4 linked regions of the Notamacropus eugenii genome follow. The main gene of each other region encodes a partner of the protein of the gene in region 4 in a complex. Links are inferred from orthologs where the notes say so. Each region holds a gene or a part of one and is shown on either strand. Other genes may lie near its edges.

What was found.
Region 1: SNRPB (region 4) and SCNM1 share a complex: the UniProt entries of both Homo sapiens proteins name them as parts of the minor spliceosome. The link is inferred for Notamacropus eugenii from reciprocal best matches to the Homo sapiens genes SNRPB and SCNM1.
Region 2: SNRPB (region 4) and GPKOW share a complex: the UniProt entries of both Homo sapiens proteins name them as parts of the minor spliceosome. The link is inferred for Notamacropus eugenii from reciprocal best matches to the Homo sapiens genes SNRPB and GPKOW.
Region 3: SNRPB (region 4) and CRNKL1 share a complex: the UniProt entries of both Homo sapiens proteins name them as parts of the minor spliceosome. The link is inferred for Notamacropus eugenii from reciprocal best matches to the Homo sapiens genes SNRPB and CRNKL1.

The regions. Positions count from the first base shown.
Region 1 is NC_092873.1:305,006,678-305,013,775, forward strand, and holds the start of SCNM1 (sodium channel modifier 1), read left to right. Parts: upstream 1-4,085; 5' UTR 4,086-4,389; coding exon 4,390-4,440; intron 4,441-5,453; coding exon 5,454-5,524; intron 5,525-5,780; coding exon 5,781-5,869; intron 5,870-5,947; coding exon 5,948-6,042; intron 6,043-6,152; coding exon 6,153-6,244; intron 6,245-7,098. Other genes in the region: LYSMD1 (lysM and putative peptidoglycan-binding domain-containing protein 1), read right to left, coding at 1,136-1,274, 1,796-2,154, 3,533-3,712. UniProt on the Homo sapiens protein: As a component of the minor spliceosome, involved in the splicing of U12-type introns in pre-mRNAs. Plays a role in the regulation of primary cilia length and Hedgehog signaling.
Region 2 is NC_092876.1:17,503,488-17,511,312, reverse strand, and holds the start of GPKOW (G-patch domain and KOW motifs-containing protein), read right to left. Parts: upstream 3,013-7,825; 5' UTR 2,981-3,012; coding exon 1,676-2,980; 3' UTR 1-1,675. UniProt on the Homo sapiens protein: RNA-binding protein involved in pre-mRNA splicing. As a component of the minor spliceosome, involved in the splicing of U12-type introns in pre-mRNAs.
Region 3 is NC_092872.1:595,317,749-595,325,265, forward strand, and holds the start of CRNKL1 (crooked neck-like protein 1), read right to left. Parts: upstream 3,004-7,517; 5' UTR 2,869-3,003; coding exon 2,818-2,868; intron 1,283-2,817; coding exon 1,130-1,282; intron 1-1,129. Other genes in the region: CFAP61 (cilia- and flagella-associated protein 61), read left to right, coding at 7,288-7,430. UniProt on the Homo sapiens protein: Involved in pre-mRNA splicing process. As a component of the minor spliceosome, involved in the splicing of U12-type introns in pre-mRNAs.
Region 4 is NC_092872.1:476,069,027-476,076,714, forward strand, and holds the start of SNRPB (small nuclear ribonucleoprotein-associated proteins B and B'), read left to right. Parts: upstream 1-4,682; 5' UTR 4,683-4,838; coding exon 4,839-4,841; intron 4,842-6,457; coding exon 6,458-6,609; intron 6,610-7,688. UniProt on the Homo sapiens protein: Plays a role in pre-mRNA splicing as a core component of the spliceosomal U1, U2, U4 and U5 small nuclear ribonucleoproteins (snRNPs), the building blocks of the spliceosome.

The sequences.
Region 1 (7,098 bases), on a different chromosome or scaffold from region 4:
GAGGGGAGTGGGAAAACACATTTACTTTCCTCTACATCCAACATTAAATAACAAAATAAGGCAGACTCTTAGCCCCAAAGAGCCTCCCTATGCTGTTTTCTTTTCAAAAAGAGAAAAGTACACCTCAAGCTGGTGCTACAAACCACAAATAAATATTCAATGGAGAGAAAGAAAGGAACCAGGTCATGGAGGCAACGAAAAAACCCTCCAGTGCTCAGTATGTGTAGGGGGGAAAGGGGTGTACGTACACACACACACACACACACACACACACACACACACACACACACACACACACACACACACACGCATGCAGAACACAGGTAGTCAGGCCTGCTCTTTAAATCCTAAACTCACTGACTATCCATCAAGGTGGCCAGTGGCCACTGCTCCCATCTCTCTATCTACCCCAATATAAATCTCAGTGGAATAGGGCAGAAAAGTGGCATGGAGGGAAAGGATGAGCAAAATCTCTAATCTCCTGAGCCATGAGAAAGAAAAACAGGACCAGTCACGTCAAGGCCAAGTCCAGCATTTCACTTCCTGATTTGGGGGAGAAAGCTGGTACAGCATCTAGGGAAGCTGGCTTAGTACCTCAGTGCTGCACAGCAGAGGCTGGGGCTCAGACATACCCACACTACTGACGGTCCCCAGAGCTCCTTAGATGGGAGAGGACTACAGGAGCAGCCATCATGGCTGATCATTGCTTAGCCACCATCCCGAGAGCTGGGAGGACTCCCATCTCCTGCTAGAACAAAATGTAGCTAATAAATAGGATTCCAAAATAGCACCAAATAAATTAGAAAGGAGGGTGGGAGGGAGTGGGGGGACAGCTTCTAGAGATCACTCCACCCTATGGTAAGGCCAAGGAACTGTGACAGGAACCAGAGAGAGGAAGGAAAGGGATAGACAGAGCTCTCTGAATCTAAAAGATCCCAAGATCTAGTCACAAGAGTTCGGAAAGGATCTAATCTCAACCCTTCCATTCTTGCCTACAATTCCTCCCATAGCCCCATAGTCCCTGATATGACAAGGCCAGGTCAGGGGGATGGGATGAGATAGTGGATCCTCAACTTTCACCCCATCAGACAGCTTCTCCTTTACTGCTTCTCTTTTCCCAACAGTTTTGGGGGTATCAGAGTTTAAAGATTTCATCTTCCTGGTCCCGTAAGGTGGCTGCCCTTGTGGTTCGAGTCAGGGGTACAGGGCCCAATACTGCCCGTTGCTGCTTTCGAGGGGAAGCCAAATGGGGATGCACATCCTCCCCAGGTACACTGCAGGTAAAGACAAAGGGAAAAGTGATCAGGAAAGGAGGCAAGGAAAGAACAAATTCTTATGAAGCACATGTGCCAGGAAATGTGCCAAACATGGTACAGATTTCTCATTTGAAGGGGTAGGGGTTAGGGTGGGGGTGTGTGAACTAAATAGAGAGAGGGATTGTAGCAAGCTGCCCAGGTAATGCTGCCAAGTCTGCCCAAGGCTCAACTTGCCTTGCCCCTGGAAGGACAGAGCAGTAAGAGGAACGTGAAATCATAAGCCCCCGTCCACCATAGATGTATTCTGGCAGGGGCTAGCTCACGTTGCAACTGGAATTCAAATTTTGAGCTGGAAGGGGCCTTTGAGCACATCTAACCCAAGTCTTTGATTTTTCAAGAGAAAGAGTGTGGAGTCCTGCAGTGTTTTGGGACCAAGGCCTGACTTCCCATCTCCTGATGCCCAATTCTGTGCTCTTTCTGCTAGATCAAAGGCTTCTGGTGCAGGTCAGAGGGGCTGTTCAGAAATGCCCAAGACTTACCCACTCTCGCTTTTCTTCAGCTTCCTGACGGCAGCCTTCTTTGACAAACTGATCTGTGAGTCGATCTTCTTGAGGAAGTCAGTGGCAGAGAGGTCATGGCTGGGTCTAGGGAGGTCCTGACCACATCTGGAGGAAAGGCCTTCACCATTGGCTTTTTCCTCTTGTTTTTTCCTCAAAGCTGAGGGGGCTTCAGCTCCACCTTGACTCAATGGCATCTCTTTCTCTTTGTCTTCTTCCTCCTCAGAATCTAGCCCATTGAATAATCCCCGGGGTTCCATCAGGATAGGAATATAGAGAGTTTTCTTGAGGAAGATGGAGTCATTAGTATAAAGACGGTTAACACGCTTAATCTGTTCCATCTTGGGGGGAAAAAAGGTAGGGACACCAGATTAATAACAGCAATAGTAATGCAGCTCCCAATTTTATAATACTTCACATTTTAAAATCCATTTCTTTATTTGGTGTTAACAACCATCCTGAGCAATAGGGAGGGCAGTATCATCCTTGTTTTATAGATGAATATACTGAGGCCTACTTAGGAGATCATGACTTGCCTAAGAACACTGAAAAAATGAGTGACAAACTTAAACTCAGGAGTCCTTACTAATAAATCAGGAACCCTGAAATATGCACTATTAATGTTTACATGAATTTGTCAGCATTTTTGGATAATATATCTTGGTTAAACTGAGGCATAACACATTGGGAAGACAGCATTCAGAATCAAAGTCTCTAAGAATGTTCGTGTTAGGAGGGACCCATTCAGTCCAGCTACTGAAGCCTGAGATGTAACCAAGATATTTCTATCCTAGCACAAAACTATCCTAATGAACTTGAATAACAGATCGCTGGAGTCAGGGAGACCTGACTTGAATTCTGCCTCAGTCACTTATCAGACATGGGACCCTGAGGAAGTCACATTATCACTCTGGGTCTCTGATCCTCATCTGTAAAATGAGGTTAACACAGCACCTAATTCACAAAGTTGTTGTGAGAATCAAAAGGGATAAGAGAGTTCTAAGAGTTTTAAAATGCTCTAGAAATGCTATTATTATTAAAACCAGAGAACTCTGAATAACACCAAAGTTAATAATATCTTGAATTGGGAGGGCATACAAGCTGTCATTTTGTTTTTAGATTTTATAAAGATTTCACAACGATATGATACAGTTGTCTCCCCATAGGGGGAGGGAAAGGAACATCCCTGTTTGACTAAGGTCCAGAGGTTAGAGTCTGGACAGACTGATCATTAGCCAAGGCTCCGTATGCTCTCCTGGACCGTGGATACTTCTGGGGTGTGTGTGTTTTGTGATCCCCAGATGATTAGCTCCAAGCCAAAATCTGGTGGTAAACGCCCACACACTCCAGCTGTCGCCAGCCGGTCGGACAACCGGGTGCACCTCCCCACACCCCGGGGGGGGTCTTCGGGCCTCCTCCTCAGACACTGGAGGGCAGGGGACCAGAGACTGCAAAAAGGGGTGAAAGTGGGGAAGCAGGAAAACCTGGGTTCAAATCGGGCCTTGGCGGTTACTAGCGGGGAGACCCCGGCCAAAATCACTTCATGTGCCCCAGCCTCAGTTTCCTTATCTGTAAAGTGAGGATCACAATAGTCCCGGTCTAACACAGTTCAAGCTCTGAACACCACTGGCCACAGCCCCGGGATCCAGGGGAAGCCGCGAGAGTAGTCCACGTAAGCCCTCCCGGAAGGTGCCCCCGCCGTGCCCTCCGCCCACTCACCGTCACCCCGTACTTGAGCGCCAGGCCGGCCAGGGTATCCCCGGGCTCCAGCAGGTGCTCCACGCGCCGCTCGCGCACCGGAGAGCAGGCCGACTGTACCAGGCTGCCGTAAGACCGGGCCCGGCTCCCTCGCAGGAGTCCCGAGCCTCCCGGGGACGCCTGACGGGAGGGGGACGCCATGGCCTCGCCGGCCCAGCCCAGGTCCTGACCTCCGACCCTAACGCCCTCTGACCCCTGACCTTCGAGGAGCCTTTCTCAGCCCAGATCCCGGGGGCCTGCCTTCGCCATAGGCCGCCTACTCCCGCTTCGGGCTGCGGATCTCCCGTCCCGGTCAAGCCCGAATGCAGGGCCCCGCCCCTCCCGTCCAAGGCCCAGGCGCCGAGATCTACAGCAGCCGGTTCTGTCGCTGCCCGCAGCCGAGGAGTGAGAAGCTGCTGGGGGCCTAGAGGAGTCCTGGCGAGCACGGCTGGGCCAGCTCCCCACCCCGCCCCGGGTGGAAGCTCACGCCACTCATGCAGGATCCGGAACCAGGAGACAGCCCCGAACCCTCCAGTTTAAGGGGCCTTACAGACCCCCCCAGGGCTCTGGAGATACTGAGAAAGACTTGAATTCCCAGAGAGCCGCGGGGCTCCAAGGCATCCTGGGAAGTGTAGTCCTTCCGCGAGGCCAATCAGAAGGAGCTGCGGGGCAGGATGCTCTCGCATTCCCGGAAGCATACGCCACGGAAGTAAGAAATCAACCAACCAAAAAATATAACTCTCCGCTCCGCCCCCGTCGAAGCTACGGTCACTGTGAAGGCGTTGAAGAATAGGTGGTGGAGTCGCTATATTTTGTGGTGGAGGGCTGTGATAGAAACCATGTCCTTCAAGAGGGAAGGGGACGACTGGAGCCAGCTCAATGTGCTCAAGGTGAGGAGAGGGGGGGGGGGGTAGTTGTCGCCCCTGAGATGAGGCTCACGCGTTGCCTCGGCAACCCCCCAAGGGGCGGGGCCATACAGGGTGGGGTGGGGGAGGGGAAGGAGGAAGGGATCGGAGGGGAGGAGGGGGGTCTCCAGCGTTCAGTTCGGCGCTCTCTGACTTCTCCGCCGTGCCCTCAGTAAAATTCTGGTTCAGAAACCTCATTTATGTTTCAAGGTCCATTGGGCCTGGTTGCTTCCCCTCCCCCCAGATCCCCCAGCCCCGCAGATAGAGGGGCGAACTCCAAACTTGTCCATTGGAGGAGGAGAAGGGCCATCGCATAGACATCTCATTTCCCACCAGCTTGCTCTCATGTGGGGCTTCTTCCATACGCCCCCCCCCCCCCACTTCTCAGCTTTTTTGTGTGTTTTCCTCCCCCATTATTAGATTGTAGACTCCTTGAGAACAAGCACGGGTTTTTCCATCTTTGTGTACCCAGCGCTTAGCGCAGCGCCTGGCCCGTATATGTATTCATATATATATATATTGATTATGGATCAATATTTGGGAGCGGGTCACAGACGAGCTGCTGGAATCAAATGTAGAAACAGCCAGAGCACTGTCGCCCTGCCCCGGGACCCTCCATCCCAGGGTTGAGGTAGAACCCTTTCTCTTCCTCTTCCACCACCCTTGGCAGTGGTAAGGAGTTGGGATGTCAGAAGACTTGGAGGCTCGGCTGAGACAGGACATGGACCACAGGTTCCCTGGAGATAAGCCTTACCCTCCTTGCCTCATTGTGGCTTACAGGAAACCTAAGCATGGCCCACTGAGAGTGGTGACCACTCTGAGGTGGGATCTCAAAACCTTCACTGGAAAAATAAAGTCATCAATAGACTGGTCCCATCCAACTTCTTTCCCAGGAGGCCTTCCCCCTCAGTTTCTTCCCTTCACACCCACTATCTTATCATCAGCACCAGAATTCCTGGTTACAGCACTGGACCACACTTTGCCTTCTCCTTTTCTAGAAGCGGAGAGTTGGGGACTTGCTGGCCAGTTATATCCCAGAAGACGAGGCACTGATGCTTCGAGATGGACGGTGAGGTCTAGGAGACATCAAACTTGAAGAGACAAACAAGGGGATGATGAGAAGAAAATGTCAATTCTTGATTCAGCCTTGGATTCCAGGAGAGGGAGAGAGAGAGTGGTGGGTGATGGGGGGAGATTGGAAGAGGTGTGCACTGGCAAAAGGGTAGGAAGACCTGGGAAGGGAGCAGGAAAGAATAGCCTTGAGGTGACCAAAAGCAAGGGTTCCCGAGGCTATTGCAACTCTTTCACCCATCTTTCCCCTCAAGATTTGCCTGTGCTGTCTGTCCCCACCGGCCTGTATTGGACACACTGACCATGTTGACTGCTCACCGTGCAGGGAAGAGACACCTGGCCAGTAAGTTAAAGGGTTAAAAGCAGGACATTAACTTGACAAAGCCTTCCCGAGCCATGCTGAGTATCTCTTCCCCACCAGGCCTGCAAGATTTCTATGGTAAGAAGCATCAGTGGAAAGGAGAACAGAATCCAAAACAGCAGGAAGAAAGGAGAACTGAGAAGATAGGGGACCAGGTAAGTGAGAAAGGGAGGTTTCTCCTAGGTAGAACTCTCATCCTGGGAGCTGTGAAGTATCTTGTTCCCCCTAGGTCTGAGAGCATTTGTTGACCTCTGCTTTGCATTAGGCTCCTCTGCTGGCCCAGACCCGTCTGATCACCCAAAGTGCCCTACGAAGAGCCCCAAATTATAACAGTTGCTGTCGGCGGCAGAGAAACAGGTAATTTTGGATAGAAGAGAGGTGAAACAAGAAGATGGAGGTAGGAAAGTGGCGGCAGTTTTTAGAGAAGAACAAGGAAATTAGAGGAAGAGGAAGATGGATGAGAAAAAGGTAGAATAAAACCTGGGGCATTTGTTACCAAACTGTAAAACTCAGTGAAGACATCTGTCTTCCAGCACCTAGGACAGTGGATGCATGATAACTGTTAAAGGAATGCTTTCAGTAATAAAAAAGATGTGAAGACAAAGGATTGGCAAAGGGTTGAGAAGATGGGAAGGAGAAATCCCATAGGTTCCCACATAGGGAACTGAGTTACATTTTCAAGAATAAGAACCATTCTCCAAATGATAAATGGTCAAACTATATGATCTCATAGTAGTAATTCATAATAGACTTTGGGTATGAATGCTCAGAAAGATTACTAGGAGTTGCTTCTGAGATGGGAGGAACAGAAGTAGATAACTCTGATGTATTAGGGACAAAAGATGACTGGATTCCTCCCCAACACTGTAAACTTTTTAAAATTCAATTTTATTTTATTTTATTTTTCAGTTCCAATTTCTCTCTGTATTACACTTCCCTAGCTGTTAAGAAGTCAAGAAAAATAAAATCCGTTACATATGTATATAGTGATACAAAACAAATTTCTACATTAGTCATATCCAAGAGAGAGAGAGAAAATAAAATAAAATATGGCTCAGTCTGCAGTCTGAGGCCATTATCTCTCTCCATCTGGAAAGGGATAGAATATTTCATCATGAATCTTTTGGAATTGTGTTTTGTCATATTGATTAGAGTCATTGCTGATTATCCTTACAATATTACAGTTATTATATAAATTGTTCTCTTGGTTC
Region 2 (7,825 bases), on a different chromosome or scaffold from region 4:
AAAAGGGTAAATTGATTGTTGTCTAAGCAAAGGCCCACCATCACTGAGTCAACACCACAAGCCAGTGCAACAAGGATTTTTGTGACCAATAACTTTTCTTTTTTCAATAGGAATACGCTCATAGGCATGGAAAGGCTAGCAAATTGCCAACAGTTCATGCAGCAAGCCAGCTTCCTGGGGCTAGAGCCTGGAAGGCCCTTAACAGACCACTCCTCTCTTTTCTAAGAAGGTCAAGAAACAGTTAGTAGGTGGTTAATTTGGATTCCCACTGGAAATGGGGGAAACATAAGGTGCCAGGTGCTGTGTGTACCAGGTGAGATGGCAGAGGTCACAATGGCCATCATTTACAACAGCAAACCTCCAAATCTCTGCAGTTTTCCAACGGTCCTGTTGCTCCTCATGACTTAGCTGAGATGGACCATCTTCCCCTTCCTGCCTTCTCCCCTTCCTCTCACACCCAGCATTGGGTTCAAATGTCACACGGCCCTTAGTGTCTGCCTCATTACTTTTGGGATTCTTCTCGGCTACATAATGCCTCTCTCTGCTCGTCTTTTCTCAAACCACCCTTAGAACGAACTGGGTAAAAAACTAGCGTGGTAACATGTGGCAATTTAGATAACCTTTCGCTTGAGTTTCCTCCAGAGGAGATTGTCTTCACAACTGATTCCTTCCTAAATGGAGGCTCTGATTTATTCTGATTGAGCTTCCAACTAGCACATCTAACTCCACGAAACCACAGCCCAGGTGGGAGCTAATTTATCTGGTTGGAAATTCAAAGAGGCAGTAATGTCTATGACAAAAGATACCATGGAATGGGAACTAAGAGGTATCAAGGTCATGTCCATACAAGGTTAAAATGAATGGATCCAGTTGAGACTGTAGGGATTGAGGTCCATATGTACTGGCAATGTAGGGGAGGGGTGGTGGGCTTTAACTGTTCCAAGAATTACCTGTGCGGAATATGAGAGGATAGTCAATCCAGTTCAGTAGGAACATAGGTAGAGGACTAGGTGAGAGTGAGAGTAATGAACTGCCTAGGATAGCAGTCTCTCTGTGGGGGGTATTACACACTGAGTAAGAATGAAGGTGTAAGGACACTTTGTATTAACCTCAAACATTAGCACCTCCACTCATTTCCCACAATGCCATTGGAATATGAGCCAGACCCCTGTAAGCCCAGTTCATAGACCTACACAGTGGATTCTCCAACAGCTATCCTTGGTGCATTTTGAAAGGACCGTTACTACCAACATTTCCAGGCCCAGAATACCGGCCAGGGATTCAATGACTTAAGTCCTAAAAATGAAGAGCTTTTTGGCACTGATTTTTCCCCCTCAATATTTCATTGAGATACTGTGATTATTCCTCCGTGAACTGTCTGAATGCTCAGTGATTAAAAATTTTTTTTGGAAAACTTATTTTTATTTAGACAAGAAACACTAACCAACCAAAGGAAGGCAGGCAGGCCCCTGTAATTTCCCCTTGTCTCCTTGGCCCCTGCCCCAAAGGGCCAAAGCATGATGATGGGCACTAACTAGGGGCTCTGCCAAGATGGCCTGAAGGCACAATGAGACAGACCCACAGACACCCCTCTGCCCAGTCTTGGGCCACATTACAATCCTCAGTCACCCCAGGAAAATGCAGATACTGGGTCCCTCTGATGGATGGGAGCCCTTCAGTCCTCTGCCACAGGCCCAACGTAGTGACAAACAGCGTCGTAGTCCAGTTGCAGGACAGTGCCCTCCCCCTCCTGCAGCAGCTGCACCAGAGCCCGGCTCTTATCCTTGTCTCTGCCCAGTAGCCGGCCCACCTGGCCCCGGTGGGGCCCCAGCACCACCATGACCCTGGCCTTCTCCTCCTTGGGGATGAGGGTCTCCAACATATCTTCTCGCAGCCCCTCGAGGAGCCGGCCCTCATCTGTCCTGCACACACACGTGTCCGGGCTCAGGACGTCTTCGATGATCATCTTGGTGTTGTAGTAGCGGCCCTTGTAGTGCCCTTTGTCCACGAAGCGCACTCGGAGGTCTCTGCGCAGCCAGTGGGGGGCCCGCTCCTCCGTGGGGGGCTGCTTCCTTTTCAGCCCCTTCTTTTCGGGGGCCCCTCCGTGGCCCGTCTTGGGGTCCCTGGCCCCCCGCAAGGTCTGCCTGTCATACTCCTGCCGGGAGACCGGCCTCAGGACGTGCTCGCTCAGGGTGGCCACGTGGCCAGCGGGGGCCAGCTTCACCACGGCCCGGGCGTTGTCGGGGTCCAACCCCTGCACTTGTCCGTAGAGGCCTCGGTGGGGCCCAGACAGCACCACCACGGCCCTCCCAGGGGCCAGGCCCACCAGCTCCTCGTCGTCCTTGGGGCTCCCGGGCTGGCTGGGCCCTGGGGGGCCCGAGGGCAGGACCAGGCTGGCCCCCAGCCCCAGCCCCTTGGGGCGCAGGGGGTTTTCCCGGGGCTTCACCACCTGCTTGAAGGTGCGCCCGATGCCCTCCCCCGGCTTCCAGCCCATGCCCCGGAGCATGGCCAGCCCGTAGGCCTCCACGGGCACCGCCTCGTAGTCTGCGCCCACCGACTCGGGAGCCTCGGCCGCGTCTCCAACCCGGGCCAGGAGCGGGATGGCCATGGAGCGGTCGGCGGCCTCGGCGCCCGGGCCCAGCTGCTCGGCCCGCTTTGACTCCTCGATCAGCTCCTCCACGGCCTGGCGGAGCACGCCGTCCTCAGGGAGCACGGCCTGGCCCGGGGCCGCTGTCCGGCCGTGGCCCCGCCGCAGTAGGGGGATCACCAGCTCCCGCGGCGCCTCCTCGGGCGGCCGCACACTGCGCAGCTCCCGCCCTTCCACGGCCCGCAAGAAGTCCTTTTCCTCCTCCGGCTGCCCCTCGCGGCCTTCGGCCAACCGTCTCCGGCTGGCCGTGCGGCTGAAGCCGAAAGAGACCGGGCCCGGAGGCCCAGGGGCCGCGGAGCTGGCGGCCCCCGCCTCACTATCCCCGTGCGCCATCGCGCCACCCGCAGCTTCAGGACTGACCTAGCGCTCAGCCTGCCGGGTCCTTTATGCAGTCCTTCCTCTTCCTGCTGGCTCGCGGGGCACGCTGGGTCTTGTAGTCTGCCTCACCAGTAGCGTCTGTTTGTGCGCGGTGGCTGCCGGACCTTGTAGTCAGTCACCGGTGGGGCTGTTTGCACTTGTCACCTTCTGGGTCTTGTAGTCCTCCATGCCTGCAGTTGCAGATTGTGCGCGAGGCCTGCTGGGTCTTGTAGTTCGCCCCTCCTGCTGCCAGGGTTTGCTCACTATGTCTTCTGGGCCTTGTAGTCGGCCCCACCTGCAGAGGCGGTATGTGCGCGGTGGATGCCGGGCTTTGTAGTTACCCTCCCCTGCACCCGTGGGGCTGCTTGCACTTGGCGTCTGCTGTTTGTTCAGCCTCCTCCGTTTGTTAGCGCGCGGTGGCTGCTGGGCCTTGTAGTCGCTCAATCCTCGTCTTGCATATGCTTGAACCGGGACCACCCGGGAGAACTTGATGCCCTTCCTTGATGTGTGTTTCAGAGGGTGGGCCACGAGCGGGGGACGGTGCACTAGGGAGAACAGTCTAGCCCATTTTCGACAAAGCAGTCTGGGCAAAGAAAGGCACCGGAGAAGGATGGCACGGTGTTGTCATACGCGCAGCCTGCCGGGGCTTGTAGTTTTCTTTCTCCACCTCCACCCACCCACGCTGGAGTCGCTGCGCATGCGCAGGATTCCTGCAAGGCAGGGTCCCCCTCCCCTTGCTGCTCTGGTGGTGGGGATGATGGGGGCCGGGTTGTGGGAGAACGCCTCGCCCTCTTCTCGCCTCTCTCTCTCGCCCTTCCCTCCTCCCCCCTAGGTGGACGATCCAGGTGGCTACTAGAGCTGCGGGCACGCCACGCCTCTCGGTGGTTTCCAGGCATTGGGGTGGGGGGAGGGGAAATTCGAGGGCGGGATTCGGACCCACCGCAAACCCAGCGCCCTCGGGGGCCTGTGTCTCCCCCACGCTGGACCAGCGGGGGAGGGTCTGCGCCCCCAATACCCCGTAGGCTGGTGGGGGGGAGAGTGTCCCCTGAATAACAACCAGGAGCCCTCCCCTATGATGTCACAGCCCGGAGCGTGGCCGTGCCCCGAGGAGGTTAAGGGGCCCCTGGCCCAGCCCTGTTGCCCGGAGCCATGGGTCAGGCTGGGCCGAAGGACGGCGCGTTCCCTTTGGATGCGAAGCAGACAAATGTAAAGAAAAGCTGGGGTGCAACTCTACCCTCTGACCTCCCTCCCAGCGCCCCTCCCCTCCCTCCGCCTAACGTCCAACTTTCTTATTTTCTGGGAAAAGCTTTGGATTCTGCTGGGTGAGAATGCCCACTCGGGCTTGCCCCCTGTCTAGACATTTCTGACTTTTGTTCCCCCTTCCCTGAAGGATATTTACTGCTTTAATGGCTCCATTCTGCAGACGAGTTGGTTCCTTTTACCCCTGGAAAGGTGACCATTGCTTCTTCCCTATCCCCGAGATCAACGCAGTCATCCATTTCGGTCGGGGCTCCCTGCCCAAGTCACTGCCTGTTTACCACCCCGCACAGCTGGGCTGCTCTTGAAGAAGAACCGTCTGCTAAGATACAGACTTCATCACAATGGTCTGGAAGCTGGACAGCTCCCTGCTGCAGAGCCTCCAGGAGTCTAACGTGCCAGACAGCGTCTGTTCCTGGTCTTACTTCCTTGTCTAAATAGCTGGTCGGGGCATTGCTATGCACTGCTGACCTGAAAACCTGGTTAAAGAAAAGGCAACAGGCTAAATGCGTACATTTCACGATTTAATTAATTAATTCCCTTTAAAGAAAACAGCGACAATGCATTATGGAGTCAGAAAAATATTCTGACCACTTGGTATAGAAATCTTCTGGCATATATATATTTTACCGTGAGTTACTGTGAGAAAGGAACTCTCTTAGTTGGACAAATTGTAAATTTAGTAAGATAATTAACAAAGTAGTATCAATTGAGTTGTATGATCCCAAGCTATGTGAATTTCCTATTTTCATATGTGTCTCTGACATAAGATAAGGAGAAAATCTCATCACTCTGATGGCAGACCTCCTGTCCTAAACAGGTCCTTGAAGTTGCTGACACAAGAAAGGGTATCTTAACAGAGTAGACAAAGTTGAAATTATAACCCAGGAATCTGTGTTTTTCCTTATCACTAAGATGCCAGGAAAAGGGTCTCCTAAGGAAATTACTAAGTCAGCCCTATTTGTTTCTCTGACAAAAAGACATTCTCTGAGTTTACTTAAGATAACAAGGGAGACTATTAGGTCCAGACTCTTCTTAATTCGAGCTTTGGCCCTTATTAAAGTCTAATATTTATAGTAAATATTATCAGCACTTACGGCTTAGATGATGTTTCAGATTCTAGAGTAGCCTTCAGTTCTGGGCAGAGTTCAGGGAGAGTTCAGAATCAGTTAGGTTCACTATTGGAACAAAACATTTGTCAATCACTTCATAGACAATTTAACAAGAGTTGTTGCTCTTATCATGGAAAGGCAGTACACACTTGTACAGAGGTGCTGGTTCTGGTCTCTGCTCTATCCTCTATTAACTGGAGCACCTTACTCTTCTCTTTGGGTTTTCATTTCCCCCTCTGGAAGTGAGTGTTGAATTAGAACGTTCTGGAAGGACCCCTTCATCTCTAACCTTTGGAGAGATGGCAGACTAGAAGCCACAATCAACCTTTGTATGAACATATCAGTCTGTTTGTTCATTATGCCAGGTTTCTGAGTATCCCCAAGCTAGGCAAAGACTTGAGGGTTCCAGTGAACATCATTGGGGAAGTAATCACAATTTCATTCTGCCCAAGGGTTGGGTATAAGGAAACAGAGCTAACTTCCATTTGGGAAGTGTCTGGTTGGTGGCTGATGTTCACTCTTCCATGTCCCAAGTTGTGTTGTAGGGTTTCCTTTCTACCCAAATGATGTGGTCCATGGGTACTTTATAATTGTCCCTCCCTTGCATGCTCTCCAGTCTTTACAGGGTCAGCTCAAAACCAGCTGTTTAGTCCCAGTCTTGACTTGCCATCCAGGAGTGTTGGGCAAGGAAGTCTTGGGTTCTGCAGTCTACCTGGATTTTTTCAGGGTTTAGGTAACATGAAATTCAAGACTTGGATGGTGAGGGTTTGAATCTCATTTTCCTTAACTGTAAAGTAGGTAGGATACCTATGGTACCTACTCCATACAGTTATTAAGGGCCTTGTCCATGACCCCACAGGTGGTGTGAGAGGTGGGTTAGACATCTGGATCACCTGGGCTTAGGTCCTTCACTTTCTCCAGTGCTAAAATGAGAAAGGAAATATAGCATCTTAAGACTGATGTTCAAGCTTTGGAGGCTCTAGGCTTCTGCCCTCTGTCAGCCCAGCCCTGAACTCTAATCTGCTGCTTTGGTTTGAATGGGGTCTCACTTTGTGAAGTTTTCTATCCTCTGTCAGAGACAAGGCCCATATCCTGAACACAAACTGCTAAGTCTTCAGCAGGCTGGAGGGGGAGACAGTTCATGTGACAATTATAGGGTGCTTAGGAAAACGGACTGTGGACCAAGTGCTGAGCAATGCTATCTCTCTTTAAAGTTTGCATGGCATTCAGAGTATCCAGAAGTGAGTAAGCTCTTCGATGGGGGATAGGACCACAAGCCAAATGAACGCTTGAAGAAGGCAGAAGAGTCTCCTTCTAGTGTTTGAAGGCCTGTCATGGAAAGATCAATTAGATTTGCTCTAAGCTGCTCTAGAGGGTAGAATTAGGGGCCATACACGGGTGCTGCAAGCAGAAAACTTTTCCCTAAACCAAACCCATACTTGGCTTGCAATGAGTTAGCCTAAATAGGACTGGGTTGTTTTGGGAGGTAGAAGGTGCCTCCTTGCCAACCATCATCTGACCCACTAATTAGGAGAAATGGTAGGTGAGGGACTTCTTGGTCAGGTACAGGTTTGCCTGGATGGGGACTTTGCCTGCTGGGTTTTTGTCATGCGTCCTTCGAACCAAAGTGTGTTCTCATGCCCTACAAAGGAAGCAGAATGGGGAGGGCTTTGATTGCTTTCTCTCATATTTACAATACTCATGTTGTCTGAGCTGCTGGAAATGAGAGATCCAAGCAGGTGCTATCTCTGACTTTCCAGTTGAACTTAGATCCTTGGCTTTTGTTTTTCCCAGGCTTTCTGAAAGAGAAGCTGGAAGTGCAGGGATCAGCTCTTGACTCTGAGACCAGCTTACTCCTCCCATCTCCTTTTGGACCCCAGGAGCTGAAAAGGGGCACAAGACACTGAGAAACAAAGTCCAGCTTTTTTCTGCTTCTCAAGAATTTATGCAACTCTATTGGAGAGACTAGGGAAAGCCTATATTGGAGAGGCCAGAGAGAATTGTGAATCTTCCCTTGCTTGAGGGAAAACATCTCTTTTAAGATGATGGGTAATTTTTCTCCCTTCTCCCTAAACCCACCTAGAAAATGCTGTGTCCATCTCGGGAGAAATTCAGATCATTTCTGAAGATTTTGTCCAATTTCCTTTCTATAATTCCTAGGGATGAGATCTTCACTTGGTTGGTTGGTTGTTGTCCTTCACCTTCAAAGAGGACCAAAATGACATCACCATGATAAAGTGAAATTTCAGTGTGTCTGACTGTGGCTAATTAGACCAATATGAGCTCGGCATGCTCTACCACAGGTTGGGCACAGATAGTCCATGTGAATATTTGGGGTAGATATCCCAAATTTTCACTTAGATAATTCAAATGTGTAACCTTGCCAATTATCTGAATCTTCTGGAACATGATGACTATGGATGAATTTGGGGACACCCCACTATAAAGCAAT
Region 3 (7,517 bases), about 120 Mb from region 4:
CATTCTAAAACCTGAATTTGAAGGAACCTATCTGTGAAATGAGATAGGTACTTTGAACATATCCTTATGATGCCAAATTCCATCGGGATGACAAAGGAGAAAAACAGCAGAATATATCCAATAATGAATAGTGTGTTAAAAATCTTAATGCTTTATGTATTGTAATCTAAGCAGATTTAACTTGGCATACAGTTTAGTAATTATTTGTTCAAAAATTATCATAAAAATAACATTAGCAAAAACATTCAAAATAAGGAAGAAATTACATAAAACTTTATCATTTAGTAAAATCAGACCAAACAAACTGCTGGTGCATATAAAGGAGGCAAAATATGCAGAGCCTCTTGTTGAGTATTTCATTCTAATTGGGATGTCTTCTCCCTGCTACCAATCTTGTTTAGAGCCTGAACATTTTAAAAAATTATCATTATGCTGTCATTCCTTCAGTGGATTGATTCTGGTTGAAAAACAGAAGAAAAAAGAAGATTTTACCTCTTTAGGCAAAATCTAACTGGCTAATGATTAATTAATAGTGACAAAATGAACGTCCCAAGAGGCCATGGACTACAGGAATTCATTACTGACAGAAAACATCAAGGTCAGTCTTAGCTATGCAGTCTTGATTAAATCACTTAAGGTTGCAGAGCCTCAGTTCCTTTATTAGTAAAATGGGGATAATTGGTAAAATTGGTAAAATGGGAGCTAGGCAGCGCAGGGCTTTGAGTGCTGGGTCTACAGTCAGGAAGATCTGAATTCAAATTTCACTTCGGACAGTTACTAGCCATGTAACCCTGGGTAAGTCACTTAATCTCTAAATTTTCACAACTGAAAAATGGGGAGAATAAGAGCACCTCTTTCCCAGGGTTGCTGTGAAGATCAAATGAGATAATATTTGGAAAGTGCTTGGTAAAGAACCTGGCACACAGCTGGCTCTTCATAAATGCTTGTCCCCTTCTCCCTTCTCTTGTACTACCCATTCCACAGAAGTTTTGTGAGGCAAGCAGTTTGTAAATCTTATATGTCAGCTATTAATAATATCCATGTTAGCCTCTCTAAACAAGCTCTCAGCCAACCAGCTTTATGGTTCACAGCACTCCCCTGAAAGGGCTGAAGTCTACTTTTTACTTACCTTTCTTTTCCTTAGTTTATAATCATTTAATTCTTCTTCATCTGTGATCTTCTGTTGAGGAGGTGGTGGCAGAAGCTCAAGCTCTCTTTCTTTAGCTTCCCTCAAAAGCTGTTCTGCTGTGATCTGTACTTCAGCAGGGGCTTTGTTTTTCACCTTAAAAATGAAATAGATTTATCTTTGGTATCTGCACTTTTACAAACTTTCAAATAACAACTATATCTGTAACTGTTATATGTGCGTATGTATACATAAATTTCTGGACCATATTACAAGATACTCTATTCAGCAGATTATGTTTGACTTCTTTATGAAATTATACACAATGCTTTACTGCTTGTAGCTTAGTTTTGTCTTAAGGGAGAGTTAGCAATAAAATGAAGAGCAGTATATACTTGTGGCTTAGCATAAAAATAAATTTGGATCTTGGAGGAAATACTTTGAATGTAATTTTGATATGATGTTTTAATTTCTTTTAAAAATATGTATCATATTTTAGTCATGTTAATAAAGAAACCTTGTTTACAGAATTCTTTTTCTTATTCCCCTTAAAGTCATAAATGAATTAAATGGTCTGAAACATACGCTTATGTCTAAAGCCATATTTAAAACAGGAACCAGAAGATGTGAGTTCACATACCACCTCTGCCACTTACTGTGTGACCTTGAGCAGGACCTCTGACCCTATTTCCCTTAGCTGTAAAGGGAAGATAATATCCACACTACTTCCATTGTGAGGATGAAATAACAGAACAATACGTCACACTTTGGAAACTATAAGCTGGAAGCAAATATATTTGGAAGATAAGCCTGATTAAATAGGAAATTACAACTGAATACTTTTAACACCAAGATGGTAGTTATACACTGAGTTTGGGGGAGGAGAATAAGATCACTTTAAATGGAACCTAACTGGTTTTCTTGTTAAGAAGATGAGTATGGGGAACAACGTTTTGGTTTGGTTGCAAACGTTCTGTGTAGTTTCACAGTTGGCAAGAGAAACACATGGAAAAAGGGTTTGAATCATCTCTTGTAATGTTTTAGACCTAAAAGCTGCTTCAAGTGACTGTATTTGTGATTTTAAAGGGTTGAAAACAGACTTCGTACTACAGAGAAAGTATCTATTGAGTATAATGGAAATAGATTTTAGAGCCCAAAGGCCATCATGTATTTCGCAATGTTTATATGCTGACTCCCCCCAGAAGAGTATTACTTGATAAAAGTGGGGCTGCTGATGCCAAAGAACCCACTGGGTGGGATTTACACACATGGCAAACCAGTAAAGCCTCAGTAAGTCAGTCCTTGCCTAAGTGCGGGGTCGCAAGCACTGGGCTTTAGGAGCTTCTTTCGTCAGAAAGTTCTTTGTGCTTACAAGCCATGATGAACACATTATGTGCTAATATCGACATACACTGAGGCTCAATGAACAGGTGCTTCCTACAGACACGGTATGACTCTAAAATGACTGCCCACATCGTCGAGCCCCCGGGCCGCGGGGGGCACGCTGCCTCCGGAGGATTCCCAGTCATACGTGCTTTCTTCCCATTCCCTTCCCGGATCCCGGGAAAAACGGTCTCACGCCCCCAGGGAGCTTGCTTTTCCTCTCCCCACGGGCACAGGGGCTAAGAGACACCGACAACAGCCCTTCCTTCTTCCCGCCCCCTTCGGCGGCCCCACGGCCCCACCCCTACCTTGGCCACTTTGGGGATCCGCTGCTTTCCGGCCGCGGTAGAAGCTGCCATGTTTTCGAGAGTGGGTCCGCGAGCCTTGCAGAGCCCTCTCCGATCCTTCAATCTCCAGGAAACGGCCCCCAAGCGTCTCCAGCCAGTTCAAGAAGCCCCGGACAACAACTCCAAGCCGGAACCGGAAGCGGAACTGTCGTTATCGAGGCGTGACCCTTCACCCTTACCGTCGCGTGACGGGAGGGACGCTGTTTCTATAGTAACCGGCCTTCGGCGTCTGTTCCCGAGTTAGCCCGGAGAGTGCTGTAGCTGGGGTGAGTCCAATTAAGAAGGGTTCATCTGTGTGTAGCGGAGGGGTTCACAGGGTATTCTAACTGTGGTTTGCTTTAAGTGGCTTAGGGCCAAGGGATTTGGGCGTCAGGGAGAAGCTTTACAGGTGTTCCAAGCAAAGGCGCCTTGCGCTGAAACATGGAACAGTGCCCGGTAGACTTCGGGGGAGGGGAAAAAGCACAGACTACCACTCCCAGAAGGCAAAGCAACACCACTGTGGAAACACGTTATCTCGAGATTGGCCGTGTTGCTTCCTGGGTCTTGTAGTCTCAGTCTCTTAGAGCCGCTTCTGTTTTGACCTGAGAAGGAGGAGAGTACCGGGTTCTAGCACGGAGAATTTAGGAAAATAGAGGAAAACGAATAAACATTTATATAGCGCCTCCTGCACTGTGCTAAGCGCTTTACAAATTTGCCTCATTTGGCCCTCACAGCTGATGGGGTTCAGACTCTGGGAACCTCCTTGAATCTTCCCACTTAACCTGGCCTTTCCTACTCAAATCTGTTGCCCTTGGCCTAGCCTGGCCTTCCATTGGCTGTTAACTCTAGATTGCCCCGCCTTGCTTCCCACCCAAGCCCTCCATTGTCTGATACCTCCTAATTGCCTCCAGCTGCTCCATCCTGTGAATCAGGTGCTGTTATCCACATTTTACAGTTGAGGAAACTGAGGCAAGGGAGGTTAGTTAAGTGACTTGCCAGAGTTACACTGGTAAGTGTCTGAGGCAGAATTTGAATTCAGGCTTTCCAGACTCCAGGTCCAGCACTCTATCCGTTGTTCCGAAAAATAACTAATAATACTTTAAAAGTTTTAAAAACCTTATCAGTTATTTTAAAAGTAGAGTTTTCCCCCATTAAAAGTATACAGCTATGCCTTTGGTCGTTGAGGCAGATGGAATATATTCCAACAAACATGGTATAATGCGGTTATAGTGAAGTTCATTTTTTGGCATCAGGGCTCTACAACAATTGTTGTTTCAGTCTTTCAGTCATGTCCAACTCTGTGACCCCTTTTGGGAGCTTTTCTTGACAAAGTTACTGCGGTGGTTTTCCATTTCCTTCTCCAGCTTATTTAACAGATGAGGAAACTGAGGCAAACAAGGTTGTGACTTGCCCAGGGTTACATGGCTAGTGTCTGACGAGTCTTCCTGACTCCAGGAGCAGCACTCTATTCATTGGGATACTTAGTTGCCACTTAGCACTATGCCACCTCTTAGTAAGTGCTTAATAAATGCTTCATGGTTGACTGATAGTGTAAGTTACTGGGAAAAGAAATTGAAATTGATTAAATTTAAATTGGTGGATTGGGATAATTTGTATTTCATTCATCTATTAACCCTTTCTGGTTAGCCAATACTTGCCTATACATATGCGCGCACACACACACATACACACATGTATTTGACTTAGCCAGTATTAAAAGCACCTTTGTTGTGCCCATTTTATGCATAGATAAACTGTATTTTAGATATGTAAAGAATTACCAGCGGCATAAGCACTGCCAACTAAGAAAAGGGTGGAATTAGGGGACAGAGGTTTCCAATTTACTGGTTTCCATGAAGAGCCTGACATTTCATTCACATGCCCCCTAGTGGTGGAAGTAGGGCATAACTTCAGAGATGAGTGTTGGACTGTCACTCTGAACCTCATCTTTCATCATGGAAAAGTATCAGATAGTAGAATAACAGCTATCGAATCTAATAGTGAAACATGTTATTATTCCTCTTCATCCACTCTACATTCTAGTCAAATTAACTTTCTTGATTTTCCTTTTCCTGGAACTCCATCTCCACCTCCATGCCTTTATAGGCTCTCCTCTGCCAGGAAAGCATTTTCTCCCTTGGAGGGTTCTTAGATACCTTCAAGTTTCCCTTGATGTGTTGCCTCCTAAGGGGAAGCCTTTCTTGATCCACCTAGTTGTTAGTATTCTTTCCATTCCATCCATTTGTTTGTGTAAATATTAATAAGCCTCCAATACAATAAATGTTCCTGAGGGGACATAGCTAGATAACAGTAGTATGTCTTGGGATGGTCTTGATGTTTTAGTGGAGTGTGAGCTCAATGTGACCAGCAGCCAAAAAAAGATGATGCCATCTTAGGTCATATGGAGACGTATAATGTCCAGAACAAGGAGGGTGTCAGCCCTGCTGTACTCTGTCCGTAACTTATTTAGATTCTTATGTTTTTTTCTTCATGTCTCTTTTTAGGGAGGGCATTGGTAAACTAGAGAATGAACAGAGGTGGATGAATGGGATGCCAAAGGGTTTCCAGATCATGATATGCTAATCAAAGGACTTGGAATGTTTCACTTGGAAAAGAAAAGACAAAGGAGTGGGATGATGACCCTCTTCCAAATACTGGAATCAGACTCATCATTCTCTAGGCCATAGAGAGCAAGAACTAGGAAGTTACAGAGAGGCAAATTTGGGGTTGAAGTAAGGAAAAACTTTCTAGTAAGGGAATTGATATAACTATAGTATGGACTCCAATCACATCATATTTGGGCAGCTAGATGGCAAGTTCAAGACTTGGATCCATAAGATATGAATTTAAATTTGACCTCAGTCACATACTAGCTGTGTGAACCTAGACAAGTCTCCTAAGCTCTGTTTGCCTCAGTTTCTTCATCTGTAAAATGGAGATGGCAATAGTACCTACCTTATAGGGTTGTTGTGAGGATCAAGTGTGATAATATTTATAAAATGCTTTGTAAACCTTAAGGGGCCTTTATAAGTGCTAACATTATTAATTGGAATCCTGCATTTTCTTTTGGGCAAAATTGAAAATTGATTTTAATTCTATTTTTGCTAAGAATTGATCAAGCTAGATTTAATATTCCCCTTTGAGATTCCTTTCCCTTGTAAACTCACCCATCACCCACTTTTCAGAGAAACTCAACCTAAAAGCTCAAATCTTGTCAATTTAAACTGTTAAAGAAGCTCCTATCACCTACACACTTATCCTGTCCTTGGAAGATCTGTTACCATTACCTGAGAACCTTTGTCATAGTGACTCAAATCACATATCTTGGCTGTGGTTAAGGGGTTTTCAGAAGGTGAGGTTCAAATGATGTATGTCATCCATACCCAGTCAAAAGACCACACCTATGTTGCTCCAGATTTTACCCTGTCATCATGCGAATTGTTATGAAAAACCCTGTCAAACCTCACTCAAGGTTTTTGATCATCAAGTGAGACCATTGCTCCAACTTATTGGTTACTGCTAGCCTATCTAGCTATTTGATTATGCTCAGAATTTCACACCTCAGTTCATCTTAATTTCTGCTATAACAATTAGAACTATCCTGAAGTGGATTAGACTGTCTTGGAAAGTAGAGGTTTGAAACAAAAATAATCATTTTGGATTTGTTGTTCAAGGGATTTTTGTTCAGCTACAAAGTGAACTAAATGGCTTCTGAAGACCCTTCCAGTTCTCAAATTCAGAACATTTTCCTAAATTCATATATGTGTGTGTATGTATGTATGTATATTATATGTGTGTATATATATGTGTATGCATATATACAGAGAGAGCGGGAGAGACAAATTGGATAATCTCAGAAAGATAATTGATAAATAAAAAGTTACCATTATTGCTATCAGCATTTTAAAAGACTTTTTCACTTTGGGTTTGACAGAAATAGCTATGATTTTTTTTATCTAAATGTAAATCTAAATAGACATAATATTGTTTAAACAAAGTTATCCCAAGGCAAAATCAATCACTGGTTTTCTTTCCTTTTTTATAAACTGGAAGCAGCAGTGAATTTCCCTCCTAATACTTGGATACATACAATTGTGGTAAATTAAATATACTGAACCAGTAAATATTTCATTTCAGTCCCTTTCAACAACTGCTCTATAACATTTGGGAGAAGTTTTACTGGCAACAAAGAATACAGTTGTGGCGCTTTCTAGACAGACCAATTCTCAGAAACTGTATGAGCCGATCGAGAAATGTGTCTCGTAGTTTGTGGTGACAGCTGATACAATGTACCCCCAGGGAAAATCAGCTAGACTTATGTGGAAAATATTGTATTCACTTTGTCATTTTGGAAACCGAATTAGTATTTAATATTATAAGTACTGTAAGCGAGACAGCTAATCATTTCAGATTTATAATGGAGTGTTTTCTCTTTTCGTGAAAGGGCATAAAATGACATCATTGACTTCTCCAAGAGGCAGGGAAGAATTTGTCCATTGCAGAAGAACAGAATCACAAGATATTTACTGTATTAAGACTCTCATCAGAAAATTTACAGAAAATCTTTTTGGGAGGATTAATATCATTTATCTTCTGTAAGTAATTTTACCATTATAGTTAATAAGCATTTGTTGAACATTGCCGTGGACTCTGCTCTGGGGGTGGGGCAGATATCAGCCCTT
Region 4 (7,688 bases):
TTCCTCAACTGCTGTGATGCTGCCTCTGAGATGAGGCTGTATATAGTTTTGTGGGCTTTTTGTATAAAGTGTGCTCCTTTTAAATTGATTCATAATAAACTCTTGGGCAAAAAAACCTGCAGTTATTGTTGGGTATTTTCTGTGCCTGTTGGAAGCATTGGGAGGGAGTGCAGAATTTAAACCCCTTAAGACCACCCTGGCTGTTACGTGGGCTGTCCTAGAGGAAGTAGTTCTTACATCTGAGTTACCTTTGTTCCTTTTTTATTCATCTGGATGACTTCAGATGCTTCCCTCCATTGTGATAACCATGGATTCAGTTCCCTGCTTTTCCCTATTAGTTTTTTATAGCTTTATCCTTGACTCTTTTAAGTCAGAAGTTCTTCTAAGCCTTCATTTTCTTTTTCTCCTATTTTCTCAAATTTGCTTATTCTTTAGCAGTTAACCAAAATAAATGAGAATGCTGAATATTCCTTAACTTAAAAAGTCATTATCTTATTCATTGTATTTGGGAGTTTTTAGTTTTCTCATGGAGAAAAAAAATTAGTCATAGCTCAACTTCATATATTGTCCACCTGCTACTTCTATAACACAATCCTGGATAATGGAATTCGGTGTATGTTGTCTTTAATTTCTTCTGCATGGGGAAGGAGTAATCATCAAGAAAATCTTCAATCATCATGTGAAAAACCTCGAAAGTTCATGCTTTGCCCTCAAGGTTCAGTTATTATCTGCTCAATCCATTTCATTATCTGATCTAAATTATTCTCTAGTTCTCCTGGTACATTGCTAGGCAGCCAGTGTACTACTTCATGGTTGTGGGAGGCCATGGCTTCTTCATAAAGAATTTGGAAAATTTTACTAAATATTGTCCTGTTATTTCTTTTTTTAAAATTTTCAGTTTACAACATTCAGTTCCACAAGCTTTTGAGTTTTAAATTTTCTCCCCTATCCTTGCCTCCTCCCTTCCTAAGACAGCATGCAGTGTGATATAGGCTCTCATATACATGCATGTTAAATATGTTTTCACATTAGTCATGTTTTAAAGAAGAATTCTAACCAGCAGAATGAACCATGAGAAAGAAGAAGCAAAACAAAAAAGAGAGCAAACAGCATGCTTTGATCTGCGTTCAGACTCTATAGTTCTTTCTCTGGATGTGGATGGCATTCTCTGTCCTGAGCCTTTTGGGGTTGTCTTGGAACCTTGCTGAGAAGAGCTGTCTGTCGAAGTTAGTCACTGCACAATGTGGCTGGAACTGTGCATTATATTCTGGTTCTGCCCCCCTCGTCATCCGTTCATATGAGTCCAGGTGTTTCTGAAGTCTGCCTGCTCAGCATTTCTTACAACACAATAGTATTCCATTACATTTATATGCCGCAACTTGTCCTGTAGTTTCTTTACACTGTATCCCCTCTTTTCAAGTCTTGTATAAAATACAGAATTATCTGTTTGAAGCACAAAAACTATTATGAAACCATGATTGAGGGAAGAAGTCACAGCCATGGTAATCAATAACTCCACCTTCTTTCATTTTGTTTTCTAACTCAACTACTCTGTCTTCATCCAAAGTGGGACATACATATTTTTCATCAAAGCCATTATATAACTGTCCTTGTGCTAAATTGCCCATATGAACGAACAAAGGGATAGTGAGGAGAGAAAAGGAGGAATTCAAACAGTGTGAATGGAGACCACTGAGGAGACCTGATTGAATGGGATGTTAAAGAAAGTCTCAGGAATAGCTTTTGTGAAGAAAAGAAAGCTCTTTGTGCTGTAGTTGAAGTACCTTTATTTTTAAAGGGCAGACTCAAATAATTCCTATCACTCTGGTGGCTCTTGATAACATTACAATAGGGGAAGTTTATCTTTGACAATCTCCTCTTTACTTTTCTTCTCAGATACCCAATACCCTTGAAGCCCTTCCGCTCACCTTTGCAGTGTTTCCTAGGTGATGTTTCATATCCATTCCTCTTTTAACTCTCATTTACCATTTTTACCTCTCACCAGTGGCTTGTTCTCATCTGTTAGGGAGGAAAACTAAATGGTAGAATCAGGATATTTGAATTTGAAGAGACTTTTAGACTATAGAACATACAAAGTCAGAGCTGGAAAAAACTTAAAAGGTAAAGTGCTTTGACCAGGCTTGCTTCCTAATAAGTTCCAGAACTAGTATATAGGAGCCCAAGTTTTCTCTTCCATTTCTTGACTCATCATTTTCAACAACTGTTTAAGACCCTATTATCTGCATAGCCCTGTAAGGCTCTGGAAGAGATCTTTGAAGTCATCTAATGTAATCTAATTATAGATGAGGAAACTGAAGGTCCCAGATCACATAGAGGGTTAGTTGTAGTGCTGAGAGTAGATGCCAAGTCTCATTTCTAGACCAGTACTTAGCAATAGTTACTGACCTAACTCTAGAACTAGCTGTTAGGTTAGAGTTGATATAAAATGAGAATTGGGCTTGCTGATCCCTAAAGTCCCTTTTAGCTAACAGTCTTTTATTTTAAGTTGTATTTATTACCATTAGATCGTAAACTCTAGGACAAGGCCTTGTCTTAATTATCTTTTTATCTCCATCCATAACCTGACAAACTATGCAAAGGATAGCTGCTTAACAAATAATTGTTAATTGAATTAGCAAGTTAATGAAGTAGGATGAATGAAAAAGTGTTGGGGAGACCAATGAGGCATTCATTATCTGCTTTCTAGGAGCTCATATTCTAAAGGAGGAGATGACATATAGGGAAGGTTGTAGGTAATTGTCCTTTGTTTTTGAGGAGGACCAAAATGACCTCACTGTGTTGAGGTCAAGGTACAGTGTGTCTGACAGTGACTGATCAGACCAATTTGAGCTCGGAAGGCTCAACCACAGATCTGGCACAAATGGTGCATTTGAACATTTGGAATGGAGATGTCTCTGGATTTATGCATCTCATGTTTTCTTTATGCTACTGAGATTCTGCTTTTCTTATAGAGAGACAGTGCCTTCTTTGATGCAGGCACTTCATGCTAGGCAGTCCTGTACCTGTATCTCTTCTTTCTCACAATTGATACCAAAGTTTAGATCAAAGGCCCAAGGTCCCCCAGTGCATCCTGGGTCATCTCCAGTCATCCTGATGAATATCTGTCACTGGATTCAGATGGCTCTGGAGGAGAAGTGAGGCTGGTGACCTGCACAGCCCTCCCTCATTCAAAACAAAGTCAAGTGCAAGTCATGTCATCATTTCTCTGATGGCATGGTCATCTTTGGCAACAAAGGACAAACAAACAAAAACCAAAGTTTTTCAGAGGGACCTTGAGAGTGTCCTTGTTCCTCCTGACCTCCATGTAAGAGCTTGCTTTATGTGAGTTCTCCATAAAATAGTCTCTTAAGAAAAAGACCTATTTGTACAAAAATATTTATAGCAGCTCTCTTAGTGGTGGCTAAGACCTGGAAATCAAAGGGATGGATGCCCATCAATTGGGGAATGGCTTAACAAGCTGTGGTATGTGATTGTAGTGGAATATTATTGTGCTATAAGAAAGGACAAGCAGGATAATTTTAGAGAAACCTAAATGAAGTGATGCACAGCAAAGTGAAGTAAAGAATCAGGAGCCGGTGATACCCGATAACAGCAACGCTGTGCCATGAAGAATTGTGAACGATTCAGCCATTCTCAGCAATACAGGGATCCAAGACAATTCCGAAGAGTGAAACAGTGTCCACCTCCAGAGAAGGAACTGATAGTGATTGAATACAGACTTGAGCAGGCTATTTTTTCACTTTCATTTTTTTCCTTTTATTTGAGTCTTCTTGTACAAAATGATTAATATGGATATGTTTTACATAATTGCATATATATGACCTTAATCTGAGTGCTTACTGTTTCAGGGAATGGGGAGGAGAAAGGAGGAGGGATAGAATTTGTAAAAAAAAAAAAAAAAAGTCAAAACTTTAAAATTTTTTTAAAAATAGAAAAAATAGTCCTTTAGGTCAACGTCCTTTTGGCATTTGAACAGGCCAGACCACTGGCAGCTCCACAAGGGTGGCTTCCTGGGGGGCCGGGCTGGGTAGAGTGGGGGGCAGGCTGTCAATCCTGAGGCGCACTGGGGTCTTGGGCGGTGCTCGGACTTGCTCTGAGCATGGCCCCGGCTTCGGGCGGGCTGGTTTTGTCCTCCGTTCGTGGCAGACGGCGGGCACGTCCGGCCCCTCTCCCACAGCGTGGCGGTTGTGGAAGCTGGCCGCAGGAAGCTGCCAAGGCCCTCCGGGTGTCTGAGCTGCACACGTGGGGGGGTGACCACCCTGGGCAGCCGGACCTGGCGTCAGAGCGACTCCGGCTCTGGTTCGTTTTCCCGCTGCGTGACCCTGGGCCAGTCGCTCAGCTTCGCTGGACTCAGTTTCCCCAGCCTCCCGGAGCTGCCTGTGTGTACAATGACAGGCATGTCGCAAACTAAAGCGCTACGTAAGTGCCGGTTCGTGATGATGATTAGAACTGATGGTCACTAGTTACATGATTCTGGGCCAGTCCTCACCTATCTGAGCTTCAGTTTATAAGTCGTAAAGGGCGCACAATAACATCGGCGCTTGTTGAGTGCGTTTCATAAACAGCGGAGTGCTTCATTCATTCGAGCTGTTCTAACTAGTGTGCCGGGGAAAACTATAGGGACGGAACATGAAGAACACGGGCCTCGTAAGCCGGGAGGCGGAGCCGGAAGTTCACCCAGCCGGAAGTTCCCCTAGCCGGACCGTTTTTGCCAAGGGCTCATTTCCGGCCGCGGGCGCGGGAACTGGAGTTTTCGTCGGTTTGTAGGCCCGGCGGAGGCGAATCCGACGCGAACCGGGGCCATCTCAGCCGCCACCATGGTGAGGGAGGGCCGGGCAGCCATCTGGGGTGGTCCTGGGAATGGCCCCGAGTGGGGGGCGCAGCCAGTCGACCGCCGAGTCAGGGGGCTGGGGCCCAGGTTTGGGGAGGAGGGCGCGGGAGGCCGGGATTCTGAGGGGGGGGAGGGGAGAGAACGCGAGGCCCGGATTGGGAGGGGGGAGGGGAGGGCTTGCGAAGCTGGGGTTCTGAGGAGGGGGAGGGTAGAGAACGCGAGGCCCGGATTGGGAGGGGGAGAGGAGGGCTTGGGAAGCTGGGGTTCTGAGGAGGGGGAGGGGAGAGAGCACGAGGCCCGGATTGGGAGGGGGGAGGGGAGAGCATTCGAGGCTGGGGTTCTGAGGAGGGGGTTCAGAAGGAAGGCCGGGTTCGGGGCGGGGTGTGTGATTGTGTGTCACGGTTCTGAGTGCCATTCATAGTTGGCACTGAGAGCGGAGTGGTGGCAGGGCCAGGATGGGGACCTTGGGAAAGATGGCTGGGGGAGTGCTGGGAGACGGAGGGATTAAGGTGGGAGGTCCTGGAACCTGGGAAAGGTTAAAGGTGGGGAGGTTTTTAGGACTCACTGGGAGGTGGGCTGGAGGACTAGATGGGGTCTGGAGGGGGATGGGTTGGAAGAGGAATTAGAGCCAAGGGGGCCTGAGGGTTAAGAATGGGGAGTGTAAGGGGTGGGGTTTGTCAGAATTAAACCTTTTTACCATTTACTGCATCTCTGTCGTTTTACACCCGAGAAAAATCCTGGCCCCCAATTTTGGACCTACTGTCCCTTAGCTTCTAGGCCTCACTAACTCAACCTTAAGGTCAAATACAGCGAGTGAGACCTGATTCAGAATAGGAGCCCAGATCTTCTGACTCTAAATCAGTTCTTTTCCCGTAACACTATTTGAATCCTACTTTCCCAGTGTAATTACATTCTGTTATATCCATCTTATCCTCTCTCATGCATTTAAAATAATATTTGTTGAGTGGGCACTATATACCAATTAGTGTGCTGAATGTTGCTAACGTATCCCTCAGGTAGCCGAGATATTGGGTTTGTCAGTCAGATGATTTGGGTTTCAGTTCTAGTTCCATCACCAACTTACTGTGTTATCTTGGACAAGTCTCTTAACCTATTCAACTGAGCCTCAGTTTCCTTTTCTGTAAAATGGAGGTAGATATCTTTGCACTGGTTACGTCTTTATACTCTTGGGAAGGTCAGATGAGATAACTGGATTATGTATGAAAACAACACAAGCATCCAGTCCTCTATTTTTGGTCTGGAGGGAAGGAGAATGAAGAAATCCATTGTTAAAAAATGGAGGTGATAGAAGGCTGTTTCAGGAATCAGAATGTTGTCTGGGGGAATCTTAGAACAAAGAATGCAAGAACTATAAAGAACATTATAGCTAATTTCATGTAAACCACTTTACTGAGCAGGAATCTGAGGTTTGGAGTGGGGAAGTGATTTATCCAAGGTCAGGTCTAGAACCTAGGTCCCCTGACTCCAACCTTGTTTGCTTCCCTTTATGCTAGTCTTCCTCTGGGAGTGTAACTGAGAGAGAAGTAGAGTCAAGGAGGCATTCCGATTTTAGTATCTTAGCCACTTTTTTCTTGCTTCCCACAGACGGTGGGCAAGAGCAGCAAGATGCTGCAGCACATCGACTACAGGATGAGGTGCATCCTGCAGGATGGTCGCATTTTCATCGGCACCTTCAAGGCCTTTGACAAGCACATGAACCTGATCCTGTGTGACTGTGATGAGTTCAGGAAAATCAAGTGAGGAGGAGCCCTGGTGGGAGGGGAGCAACCCAGTTCACCCAGCAGAATATTGTGGGGAGGGACCCAAGTAGCAGGTGGTATAGTTTAGCTGTCCCCTGTCTGGCTGTGGCCTAGATGTGTTTCTTGTGTCTGTGTGGTTGTGTCCTTTTTTTGAAGAAAATCCAGCTGAGTTTCCCCAGTGCCCTCTGAATGCTGCCTTCCCCAGGAGTTCAGTTGTGCTTGGAACCCCTTGGCTTGAGAGCTGTGTTTCTGTTTTTCTTTGTTTGCCCCCTTGGGGTAAAGGGCTCTCGTGTTCTCCCCACAGGTTTTTAAGGGGGAGAACTTGCTTTTCTGTCCTCATTGCCTCTCTGTAAGGCTGCAGCCTAAACGGCATTCCCACCCAATACAGCCTGCTCTGAAGCAGCTTTCAGGAGCCCCTGACTCTCTTCAGGGTAAGTGCCTGGCTTCACCACTTGGGTTAGTGTTTGGGGCTAGTGATTTAGAATAAGAGTTGGAAGAGACTTTCAGCATCATTTACTGCGACCCCTTATTTTATAGAAGAGAAAACTGCAATCCAACAGTGCTAAGTGACTCGCCCAAAATCTTAGAGTAGTAGCAGAGCAGATATTCAAACCCCAATTCTGTGACTCCTGCATCCAATGTTTTTCCCATTATACCAGGCTCCCTTCTGATTTGTCATCTGCAAAAAAAGAAGTAGTGAGAGACAATGGCTAAATGCTGCCCCTTGTGTTTTCAAGTTATTCACTATGCCAGTTTTTCAGTAAGAATCTTGTGTCTTAAAGCTAGAAGGACTTCAAGATGATCTGGTTTAGGTACTGCCTACCCTAAGACAGCTAAGTTATTTCCATTATACAGATCAGGCAACCCAGAGAGGATAAATGCCTTACCTATGGCCATTAGTTTGTTAAATGGTAGTGGTTGGGTGGGAATGACTAGAACCCAGGTCTCTTGCTTCCAAGAGTAGAGCTCCCATTTTCCTTCCTTCATTCAACCTATTAATGACCTTTTGTTTCTTTTAGGTCTGTGTTTTTTTGTGTGTGTCTGGCTTGAGTGGAGAGAATCTAGGATGAGGACTT